Linked DNA regions of Macaca fascicularis. The protein of the gene in region 2 interacts with the protein of the main gene of each other region in a biochemical or structural test. Links are inferred from orthologs where the notes say so. Each region holds a gene or a part of one and is shown on either strand. Other genes may lie near its edges. The genes, in order: UBE2V1, BIRC3 and RIPK2.

Region 1 (3,646 bases), on a different chromosome or scaffold from region 2:
TCTGGGAAGTAAGGAGGGAAGCACAGTTCTCATCCTCAAGAAACCAAAATCATTCTTAGGAAGAGAAGACATGCAGTGAAGAAGACGTCAGCATGTGATGGACCTTCAGAGACAGTAAAGAAAATTATCTCCATGGAGAAATAGGATTTCTAGATTGGGTTTTCCCCAGTATTTAGCAGACACAGAACATTCTAGTTTTCATAGAAAAAAAGGATAAAGAAGTGAGTAAAAACAGATCGAACGTATATATTTTTAAAACTCCACAAAACTACAGGGTCACAAAATGATTCAAGAAGCAACATTAAATGGTAAAGCCAATCATTCACCATGAATGTTGATGACCATCTGAGATGAGCATTAGTGTCCTAACACGTAATGAACAGTCACTTGTCCCTGTTCCAGCCGGGGCCACGCCCTGCATGTCTTTCTGCTCCCACAGTGCTAGTGCAAAGTCCTGTACACAATCAAACGAATGAACGTCGTCATCACCCTTAAACACACACAGACACAGGACAGGTCTTGCTACATTCAGGCAGAAGCTCTCACTGCTTGTCTGAAGTGTGTGTCACAGTATGGAAACTGATTTCTTGACTCCTACATCAAGTTACTACTTGATTAGTATCTTCTATAATGGTAACAGATGAAAACTCAAAATGTAAACAAAAGGGAGACACCACAGCACAGTGGTTAAGAGCACAGGCTCTGGAGTCAGATCTGATTTGGGGGTTACCAGCTATGTGACTTTGGGCAAGAGACTTGACTCCTCTGAGTCTGTCTCCTCAGCTGTAAAATGGAATGCAATTGCACCTAACAATAGGGTTTTGTGAGAGTTAAGAGACATTTCCTGAGGGTTTACTATGTGTCCTCGAAAAATGGTTGGCTGGCATTATGAAGACTGGGAACTCTCACAAATCAGGAAGTTCTGAAAGAGGCCACTTTTCCCCATCCTCATTGTCTTGGTCTTCTTTGCAAAGGCCTCTGGGTCTAGCAGTGCCTGGAATAGACCAGGAGCTGACAGGCTGGCATTAGGATACAGGTGCACGGCAGACCTGGGAGACAGTGAAGAAAAACAACAACTGGGAAGGCTTTCCAGAGTTCATTTGGAGACTAGCTTCAGGAATGCTGGCTATACCTAGGGCCTAGTTATTTGGTTAGTCCAGAGATTGTTCGGAATGACATCTGAGGGTGCAATGACCTCATACCTTACTGTCTACATTGTCATATAAATTCACACTATGAGTCTAAACAGATTTTTGCTTACCATTTAGAGGGGTTAAACAGCATCAGAGGAGGTTCAAATATATAAACTGAAACTGGTCAAAAAAGAATAGCCACATTTCAGAAAATATACCATTGGTGAGCTTTTTTTCCGTGATAAGGCTAGGATTTTTCTAAAAGGAGGCACAGTGAATTTAAGACATTGACATTTATAGCCGTAGCTCGACGCTTACTCTTGGAGGCCCAATTATCATCCCTGTCCATCTTGTAAGTGTCATGTCTTCGTCATCTTCTAGACCCCAGCTAACTGTGCCATCTCCTACTCCTTTCTGGCCTTCTTCGAGTTCTTCCAACAGTCGGAAATTGCGAGGGACTTTTACTCCTAAAATAAATGGAAAGAAATTCAAGATACCAGCAACTCCAGGGGAACTTGTAAGCCTAGAGCTAGCTGCTCATTATCGCTCCCTGGGAATAAAGATGCTAACATGCAAAAAAATCATGGGAAGTTATCACACCTCAAACTTGCCACTTATAAAGCTATCAGTATCAACCAGCACAACCAGAGGGAAGGGGCACATGGTTCTCTGACAGGTGAAGTGACTAGGGCTAGATAACCAAACTTAGATACCCCACCCCCACCCCTCGGACAAACCTTATAAGGGGCTTACATGTCTAAATGTCGATGAATTGGGGTTAACTAGTGTGAGATGAAAACCATCAATATCAAGTGCTAACAAAAGTACCTTGGAAGACAAGAGGCTGAGACTATGCTTATTTGTTGGCATGACTCTCAAACAACCTTTAGGAGGAATAGTCGCCATGGATATGGCAAATAAAAATGGTGTCCTCTTAGTCAACTAAGAGTCAATTGAAGGCACCAAGGATAAAATGTTCTATTGTTTTTCAATTATTTAAACGATAGTTTCTCTTTTAACTTACAAAAAAGGTAAAAGGGAATAGCTGGCTCTCTAATTTTTTCCCAAAAATCCCAAAGCCTGGCAAGTAGCTCTTGAAAGCAACACATGAAAACATCTCAGAGGTTCAAGACACAGTACCGGGTTCAGGCTGAGATTTGAGCCATTTCTAGATGTCTTCCAGAACAGAATATTGGCCAGACTCTCAAGAGACAAATAGGACTAACCATGTGACTGTGAAGAGAGGCTCACTTGAGGGACCCCAAATTGTGGGAGGTGTTGCCAGTATATGCATCTCCCAAAGTGTAGGACACATGCCATTAATTTAATTGGAATAAATATTTGAGCACCTATTATACATCAGGCACTTTTCTAAGCACTGAAGAACAAGCAGTGAATAAAACAAAAATGCCTGCAGCTTACATTCTAGTAGGAGACATATAATGGACAAAAATCAATATGTAAATTATACAGTATGATAGATTCTGCTGTTCTGGAGCAGGGAGTAATAGGGGAGGGGCAATACTTTCAAATGGAGTGATCGAGGAAAAGTGTTATTGCAATCAGGTGTCATAACTAAAGACTTGAAGAAGGTGACAGGGCATGATTTATGGATAGCTGAGGGGAAAGTCTTTGAGACAGAGCAAACAAGTGCAAAGGCCCTAAAACAGAGGCTTGCTTAAGGTGTCAAAGGACAGCAAGGAGGCCAATTTAGCTTAAACCAAGTGAGGGATGAGACAGCAAGAGGAGATTAAGGATGCCAACTGTTACTGCGTGACATGATCTGTCCCTCAGACTGCTGTGTGAGGACAAGAGTGAAGGGAGCAAGAGCAGAAACAGCTAGGGGGATACTGCAATAGTCCTAGCAAAAGGTAATACCGGCTTGGACCAGGGTGATAGCAGGAAAGTAGTGAGGAGCGGCGTAATTCTAGGCATTTGAGAGGTCTGAGCTGTGGAGATTTGCTATCAGGTTGCCTGTGAGGTGTGAGAAACAAGAGTCAACTACAGCTCCTGGGTTTTTGGTCCAAGCAGCTGAAAGACGGAGTTGTAGTGGTACGTTAGAGGACTTTAGGTGGTATGTGATTGAACACTTCGTTTTACAGTCATGTATTTATGTTTAAGAATAATTTATTTAGGGTAAGTAATATACTAACTTCCCATCCATAACAATGGTAAAAGTTTCCTTTAAAATAAATGTAAGCAAAAGAGTCAGTTGATTACAAAAAAATGTTAAATAATACTACATATGGTATTTGAAAGGAAACAGCAAAACCTACAAGCATACTTGAACTGTTTGTTTGGAAAACACTGGCATTTTCATCTGCACAGCAGCCAACTGGATTATTCAGCTACCCGGGACTGAGTCTTCTCTAGCAAACATAAAACTGAAAGACAGTGGTGACATTACAGGCAAAAAGTCAGACAACACAACTGTTGTTCAGAAAGGGTTCAATCTAAATCTTTAATGATCCTAATTAGGCTGGGGGGGAGAAGTCACTGCCTTACTACTGGTT
Region 2 (4,188 bases):
ATATCACCTCCATTTGAGTTTGCAAACCCCTTACACAAATCTTATCCTAAAGAAGCTTTAGGTCAGGCGTGGTGGCTCATGCCTGTAATCCCAGCACTTTGGGAGGCCAAGGCAAGCAGATGACTTGAGATCAGGAGTTTGAGACCAGGCTGGCCAACATGGTGAAACCCTATCTCTACTAAAAATACAAAAAAAATTCGTCAGGTGTGGTGGCACGCACCTGTAGTTCCAGCTACTCAGGAGACTGAGGTAGGAGAATCACTTGAACCCAGAAGGTGGAGGTTGCAGTGAGCCAAGATCATGCCACTGCACTCCAGCAAGGTATATATTTGTGGAAATTCAGGCAACAACTATACAATAAATATACAAAAATATGCCAAGATGTCAACCCCAGATCACTTCAGCCTCTGTCCTAACAATTTCCAACACCTAGATGCAGCCCTGCAGACTGGGACCAGCATCACTTAAGACTCCTTTGCCACCCCTTAGCAATTCCTTTTCGCCCTGCTCAGCCCCCTAGCCCACTGCCCTATGCACCCTTCTAAACCTTCAACACCTTCCTCAGATTTCTCCACTGCACTCCATCTCATTTTCAGTCCATTGCTTTGCCTTCTATTTCTCAAAGAAAAGAGATATCATTGAGCAGGAACCGCCTCACATTCTCATATCCAAGTCTTTTTGGCTCACAACCTACTTGCTGCCTCAGTTAAAGACTTGCCCCCTTATGGGATCCTAAACTCTCCTACTGCCTCAGAAATCTTGTTCTTAATCCCATCTCCCTCATTGCTTCAACTCTCATTCCTCTCACTCTCAACTGGCCCTTTTCCTTCCACATAACAACCATGCTTAAATCTATCTCAACTCTCAAATGAAAGAAATTTTTAAAATTCTCTTTCGGCCAGGTGCGGTGGCTCATGCCTGTAATGCCAGCGCTTCAGGAGGCTGAGGCGGGTGGATCACAAGGTCAGGAGATCAAGGCCATCCTGGCTAACACGGTGAAACCCCATCTCTACTAAAAAGAAATGCAAAAAATTAGCCAGGCATGGTGGCGTGCACCTTTACTACCAACTACTTGGGAGGCTGAGGAAGGAGAATCGCTTGAACCCAGGAGGCAGAGGTTGCAGTGAGCTGAGACTGCGCCACTGTACTCCAGCCTGGGTGACACAGTGAGACTCTGTCTAAAAAAAAAAAAAAAAAAAATCCCCTTTCAACCCCACTTCCCACTGTAGCAACTACCCTGTATCGCCCCTTCCCTTCATAGCCAAGCAAACTGGACATGTGTGTACGGTTAATGTCTCCATTTTCCCTCTCCCATTTACTCATTAAGTCAGCATCACTTAAAACTGCTCTCAGTATTAATAACACCAATGGTTTTTTTGCCAAAACAAATGGAAATGTTTGCATCTGACATTGGGGCACACTTCCTCTTAGAAATGTCCCATTCCCTGGGCTTCTCTGATACCAAGCTCTTGGGATTCTTCTTTCATTTCTAGTGGCTCCTTCTCAGATTGGCTCAGTCCCCAACCTTTCGTCTTCTGACTCTTCCATTTAACCTACCAAGAAAGCAACCTCCCCAATCCCAGGGCTGTTGGGCATCCCTACCCTTTGGGCACGCGGCACATCCATTTCTATGACACTGGAGGGCAAGTGTGCCTTTTCTTTCTGCCTCCCCCTAGACAGTAAGGTATTTTAGAACCGCAGCTATTAATATGTTTCATCTCTGTACCTGCCCTCCCACTCATAGCATCTGCAGAGCTTGGCATACAGGGTAGACACAAAGACTTCCCGTTGAAGAAATAAATGTTAGCAAATGTGACTAAGCCCCGAGTGACCACAGTACTTCTATCAATTTTACATTAATGACCACAGAGTCTACTCAGTGATTGATTAGGATCAGGCTTTGGAGTCAGACATCTGGGGTGCTCAGTACCAAGCAGCCCGGTAACCAGAAGCATGACGTTGCACAAGTAAATCTCCAAGAGCCTCAGTTTCCTCACTGTCAAATGGAGATAATTCTGCTCCTTAAGATTATGATAATTAAACGTGAAAAATACATGTAAATTCTTCAGAGAGAAACCTAGCATATAGCAGGTAGCAGTACTTAATGTTAGCAATACATAATAGCAAATAAAGTCAATAGTTAATATTATTGTTACGTTAGCATCAGGTACATGCCTTCGACACTGTATTGATCAGAGTAAGAGCACTTCTGGGTTTCCATGCTGATCACCAGGAAGACAACCAAAAACTGCTGTCTTCCTACCACAGGTTGGAAACATGCCTCCATTTGCTCATTAAACACTTTACTTCCTTCCTGTGCCAGAGCTCTGTGTTAGGCTCGGTCCTGAAATTTATTTGGCACCTGCAAAGGCCCAGTGATAACTCTTGGCAACCGAATCAAAATGACACAGCTGCACAATTCCACTGGCTCACTCCAAAGGTAAAATAGAAATTGAGCACCTGGAACCTATCTAGAGCCTGCCTTTGGGCCCTGACGTTTGATAACTGCGCCCCACCCACTGACTCTCAACCTCTGCAGCGCTCTAGCCCTGAGCACCCCTCGGCCACCCGCTGGCACACCTCTTACCCCAGGGGAGGCGCGCGCGCGCACGCACACACACAAACACACAAGCACACAGCAGCCTTCCTCGCCCACCTGCTGCCCGCGCGCACACACACACACACACACACGCACGCACACCCCAGCCTTCCTCGCCCACCTGCTGCCTAGAGGCCGACGACGCATGCACCAGCAAGGACAAGCCCAGTCTTTTCAAGCGACACCTGTCGCCCGGCCTGTTCCGTGCGGAGGGCGCGAGTCTCACGCTGTCCTTTAAATGCGTCACCCAAATCCCCACCCCTACCCGTAGCAGGCGTTCCGCACTCCTCCCAGTGGTTTGCATGTGCACTGGTGCTTTCCTTTTAGGACTTAGGGGAACTCCAGGGGTAATAACCACAGACACTTCCTCTTAATCAGTGGCCTGGCAAACCCGCTCGGGGATTTCCATGACCCAAAAGCATGACTTTTAACCGTGGCCTATCTGCGCGGCATTTACTGAAAGACATTTGCTTCATTGCTCGTGGGCCAGAGGAAATCTTGATAACAACCCATACAGAGAGGACGGTCATTGCTCAGCCTGCCTGGAAAAGGTCAATATGCCCTATTCACCCTCCATCTGCCATACACTTTACACGTAAAAAGGTTCGGGTTTTCAATCTTCTACTATAGCTGCAGAAGTCCAGCATTAAAAAAAAAAATTCGAAACTTTGTGAAATCTTTCTATTTATTTTTACTTTTTGTTCTGATCAAGAAAGTAAGAGGTGAAAGGAAATGTAGGGGTATGTGAAAAAAATCATGCAGTTCTCCTTTGCAGTTTATTTTTACCATTTTAAAGATTGAAATTGCTTTATTAATTTTCTGTATTGAAATACTTTTTGTTTTGTTTGGTGAGTTTTGGGTTGTTTTTTTTTTAATAAGTATGGTGGAGTTGGCTACTTAAAAAAATCCCTCCTTTATAGCCTTTGATTTCACAGGGCAGGTGTCTGAGTTGCAGTGCCATTCTCAGGGAAACCTGACATCTTCGAGTCTAACTGCACTGCCATATTTTCCTCAACGTAATCTAAGTAGTAACTTTAAGCAACTTTATCTGAGAGCCATCCACACCAGGGTAAGAGATGGATTTGGGAGAGCTCATCTGATTTTCTGTCTTCCAGTAGATCAAAGACAGTTACCAACCAGAGGCAGAGCCCATAAAGATTATTTGGTCCTTCATCATTCTGTGGAAACAGCATCCAGTGCATTCTGCACACAATGGACTGAGCTGAGGCATCTTCTGGTTTAGCTGGACTTGGCTGTCCATAGCAACTGAAGTTCCAGTTGGAATTATTTCAGAAAGACTAAGTGTATTTATCATATGGAGACTTTAATCCACATTTGAGTCTGCTTCAATCAAGACTTTCTAAGCCATTTTCAACTCACTCCTGAGATTATGGAAAATAATTTGTGGGCCTTACACATTTTTGATTATGTACTCACCAGAAGAATTTCAAAAAGCTCTGCATTCCCTTGCCCATTTTTAACTTAACATTAAAACATAAAGCTGTTGTACATGTCAGTAATCTACAAAATGTAAACATAGATATTTTTGGAAAAAATTGATAGAACACTCTTTTTTTTTTTTTTTTTGA
Region 3 (4,124 bases), on a different chromosome or scaffold from region 2:
TTTCTAATGGTCACACTAATAAGTGGCAGGGTTGGCGTCAGATTTGAATTGCAATTATGGCTGCATTCTTTCTACCCTATTGCTTGATCAAAGAATATAGTTGGACAGTTCTTGAAGATAGATTTTTGGCAAGATTGAGTGAGTAGGAAATTTTTTTTAAAAGCCAAGAGATTGTAAAAATTGATTTTTATATTTTGAAAATAAAGGCGTAAAATACAGCTTCTATAGTCACATCACCAAAATTAACTCAAAAATTTAATAAAAAAGTTACGTCATCTACAGGGTATTTGAACAACCAATTGGACTCATTACTCATAAGGGGTGGGAAGATTGTTGGGGAAGGTCCACTCATCGGACAGAAGTCAGATTATGGAGACTGATTCACCAATCATTAAAATAAGGGCATGTAACATTGCATAAATTTTTCTTTCAGGTCATCCCAAAGAACAATGCAAACATTCTTCTCCATAGCCCGAGACACACATGTATTTATTATTCCTATTTTATAAGTGAGGAAAGAGACACCAGTGAGTCAACTGCATAGCCTTGTCTAATGCTCAGACTACATAAATACTGCACTGATAAGATCTTAAGTAACAAATTGGAAAAAAGAATGTGATGCAGTAATGCCAGAGTGTTTCACTGGTCTTATGGCTTCCTCGAAGACAGAATTAATTTCCTACCCAATTCAGTGAAGAATTTTAGACTATGAAAATTGTTCATGAGCATGGGAAAGAAACTCCCTCTTCACTTCTTGGTCCCCAAACTGTACAAAGCTTAGATAAACTAAAATCCTGAGAAGCAGCACCCAAAGTGGGAGGATCAATTGGCTTTTCAATACCTATTGGGTCCATCAGTGCTATATTTCCATACAGTGTTTGCATAACTGGTTCTAACATATATCCATCCTCTCTAACCAACCACCACCCTTAAAAGTTGACTACAGACACATATACACACTTGCCCAGCACTTGCGCCACAGAACATAAGGCCCAGAGTAAACAGACACCACACCTTGTATATCACTGAATCTGGATTATGATAGAAAAGAAGTGGAAACAAGCTCTAGAGGTGTCCCAGATCTCCTGTGCCATTTAGGCCATCCAAGCCTGACAGTGAGACAATGAAGAAAAGTCACAGGTAGGTGAAAATCCAGTAACTTTGGCAGGGCAGAAGCTGAGGAATCTATCTGATACTGGATACAGCTTCTGGCCAATCAGGCGTCTGTGATGACGTATTTTCACATTAGATATAGGAGGAGGAGAAGAGAATGTTGTAATCATGGATGTTAACTCACTAAGAACTGAATGCTGGGCCTAGTTAAATCCCTGTAGGAAGTAAAATACACAAGACTAGTGACCAGACCCATTGACTAATACACAGTTACAGGTCTATGGCACGTGGTTGTAATGTTCTTCTGAAAACAGAAACTAATGTTAACCTTCCCTTAAAACCTGTACAAACCAGTAAGTGAAAGCCATTTACAATTTCTGGCCATTTAACAGTCTTTTGGTTCAATTTACTGTGGCAAAAATAGCACACATTTCCTCTACTTAACGATCTTCCCGTGAGAGAAACTGAGAGTGGGAGAAACTGAATTGTATTGAGTTTGATATAAAACGTTCCTGATAACACATAATAAACCACAACCAAAACAAAAGCAATAAAAAGCAAAACATCGTAGATTCTAAAGCAGCTCTGTCCAATAAACATAGAATGTGAAATCTACCACATACAATTTAAAATTTTCTCATGGCCACATAAAGTAAAAAGAAACACATTAAAATGAATTTTAATCTTATATTTAACCCAAGATATCAAAAATATTATCATTTCAGCATATAATCAATAAACAAATATTAATAAAATATTACAAGTTTTTAAAAATAAATACTAAGCATTCGAACTCTGGTATTTTACACTTAGGTCACATTTCAATTCGGACGGGCACATTTCAAGTGCTCAGTACTCACCTGTGGCTAAGGGCTGCCTACTGGACACTGCAGCCCTACAGCCCGATTTCAAAAATAAGGAAAAAACAAAGCAAGCAAAACCCACACCCACTCCATATAAACACACACCAATTTCAATAAACCCGGCGTTTAGAGTTTGGCAGTGATTGCTGATTTTTGGAGTACGGAGAGAGAACGCTTAGGAGTAAGAGGGAAGGAGAGAAAGGGAAATGGAGAGATGCGTGGAGGAATGCAACTGCTGCATCTCCAGAGAAGTGCGTGCTCCCTACCGTGCCAGAGCTTGAAGGGTCGGTGCTCCCTACCTCCCAAGCTTGAAGGGCTGCCTAGAGGTGACGAGGTGGGGCCGGCCCCAAGCGGTCACTGCCATTTGGGCTCTAGAGCCCGCTTGTCAGGGGGCTTGAGGGGATGCAGGATAGTTGGGGGCTCTTCCCGGGAACCCCATTGGCTGCCTACCTGTCGAGCAGAGGGGTGTGGATGTGCAGGTGCTTCACGGCCACCTGGACGCGCCAGTCTGCGTGGCGGGCGGACGACACAGTGCCCGAGGCGCCGCGGCTCAGGTAGCGCAGGTCGGCGAGCTTGTGGTAGGGAATGGTGGGCAGGGCGCTGCAGATGGCCTCCCCGTTCATGGTCCCGGGCGCTCAGGCCGGTTCCAGTTGTGCCCCCTGCTGCGGCGGCTCCCAAGGCTCCCCCGCCGCGCTCGGGAGCCCAGATCCGCCCCTGCACTAGCGAGGCCGGCAAGACCCTTTTTGCCCCGCGACACTAGGTCACGAGGGCGCCCATTCCCCGGGCGGCCCACGCCAGCCGCTGCTTCTCCGAACCAGAGCTGACTTCTTTTCTAGAGACTAGTGCCAACGCCGTAGCGCCGCGAAGGAGCTTCCTCTCTCGCCGCCCCGGCCGGCCCTCCCCGGCGCGCGCCGCCACCAGCTCAGGCCGCCTGAGCTCCTCCCTCCCCAAACTTCGCAGGCTACGTCAGCTGCGGACAGCAAGGCGGGGAGAGGGGCAGCCCGCTCGCGGCCCTTCCGCCTGGCTCTCGCCTCGGCCTGCGACCGGGATCCTCCGCCCGGGTCGCGCAGCCGAGGCCGAGGGCTGGGGCGGGCGGCCGGGAAGTGGGAAAGGGAGCCAGAGGCGCTCCTTTTGTCTTCTCTTCCCATCCCCCAGGTTTGGGAAAGTTTTGCTTTTGGGAAGCCCCTCTCTTCAGCCTGCTGGCGGGTGTCGGATTGGTTAGCCGCCAACCCCCTCCCCCCACCCCTCCCCCCACCCCTCCCCCCACCCCTCCCCCCACCCCCACCCCACCCCCACCCCACCCCTCCCCTCACTCCTCCCCCACCCCCCACCCTCACCCTCACCCTCACCCTCACCCCGACCGCCAAAATTCTCTGGGCCACAGGTCTTCCGGAAGTTGCCAATCCCGGTAGCTGCAGCGTCCGGCTGGGGTCTTTCTTAGGGGGCTCGGGGTTCTGCTTTCTGACTCCCTCCCGACTCTCCGCCTGCGCAGGAAGCGATTTGGGGGTATTGTGAATTCCGAGGGCCCCACACTTAAGAGGTTGTACTCTCACCTGTCTACCTGGACTCCAATTTCCATATTTCCAGTCACTTCAGGACTGAGAGATGGATGATAAACCCTGTCATAGTGGAGCAAGTTGAGGTGTTTAACCGCTGTTATGTGGGATCTGCCTTTCTCCCTCTTCTTTCTTACTTCCGTAAGTATATATATGCAGAGAGTGAAAAATAACCTTGAGAGTGTCCATCCCTCTGACTCCAGGTAAGACTGCAAATAATTCTTTCTTATAAATCTGGGAGGAATGCAGTCAGTGTTTCATGCCAACCAAAAAAGACTGCAAACGATTTCCATCTTGCTGCTTTGAACACCTTTCTACTTAGGTGACTATTTTGTAAGATATGAGTGCAAATGTTATATACAATACCAAGTCCATACTAGATGTTTAATTAATTCTAGGGCTTCAGTAATCAGGAATGACTCGAGCAGATTTCTGCCTACAGACAGCTAATGCGTCTCGTATTTTTGCATTACCTGAAATGAAAGTAGCAATGTTAGGTTTTACAATAGTGGAAGGTTGTAAACGATAGTGTGTTAAAAATTTTTGATCATTTATAATAAAATGTTCAGCACTAAATATATGGTCTGATGCT

Evidence for each region.
Region 1: the proteins of BIRC3 (region 2) and UBE2V1 form a complex in vitro, tested with the Homo sapiens proteins (2 studies listed by BioGRID). The link is inferred for Macaca fascicularis from reciprocal best matches to the Homo sapiens genes BIRC3 and UBE2V1.
Region 3: the proteins of BIRC3 (region 2) and RIPK2 form a complex in vitro, tested with the Homo sapiens proteins (2 studies listed by BioGRID, with this or other methods). The link is inferred for Macaca fascicularis from reciprocal best matches to the Homo sapiens genes BIRC3 and RIPK2.

What each region holds. Positions count from the first base shown.
Region 1 is NC_088384.1:106,186,065-106,189,710, forward strand, and holds part of UBE2V1 (ubiquitin-conjugating enzyme E2 variant 1), read right to left. Parts: intron 3,518-3,646; exon of another isoform or gene 3,410-3,517; intron 1,601-3,409; coding exon 1,452-1,600; exon of another isoform or gene 1,265-1,451; coding exon of another isoform or gene 1,262-1,264; intron 1,050-1,261; coding exon of another isoform or gene 1,026-1,049; exon of another isoform or gene 227-1,025; intron 1-226. UniProt on the Homo sapiens protein: Has no ubiquitin ligase activity on its own. The UBE2V1-UBE2N heterodimer catalyzes the synthesis of non-canonical poly-ubiquitin chains that are linked through Lys-63.
Region 2 is NC_088388.1:101,326,741-101,330,928, reverse strand, and holds the start of BIRC3 (baculoviral IAP repeat-containing protein 3), read right to left. Parts: upstream 2,808-4,188; 5' UTR 2,721-2,807; intron 1-2,720. UniProt on the Homo sapiens protein: Multi-functional protein which regulates not only caspases and apoptosis, but also modulates inflammatory signaling and immunity, mitogenic kinase signaling and cell proliferation, as well as cell invasion and metastasis.
Region 3 is NC_088382.1:99,457,647-99,461,770, reverse strand, and holds the start of RIPK2 (receptor-interacting serine/threonine-protein kinase 2), read right to left. Parts: upstream 2,910-4,124; 5' UTR 2,600-2,909; coding exon 2,427-2,599; intron 1-2,426.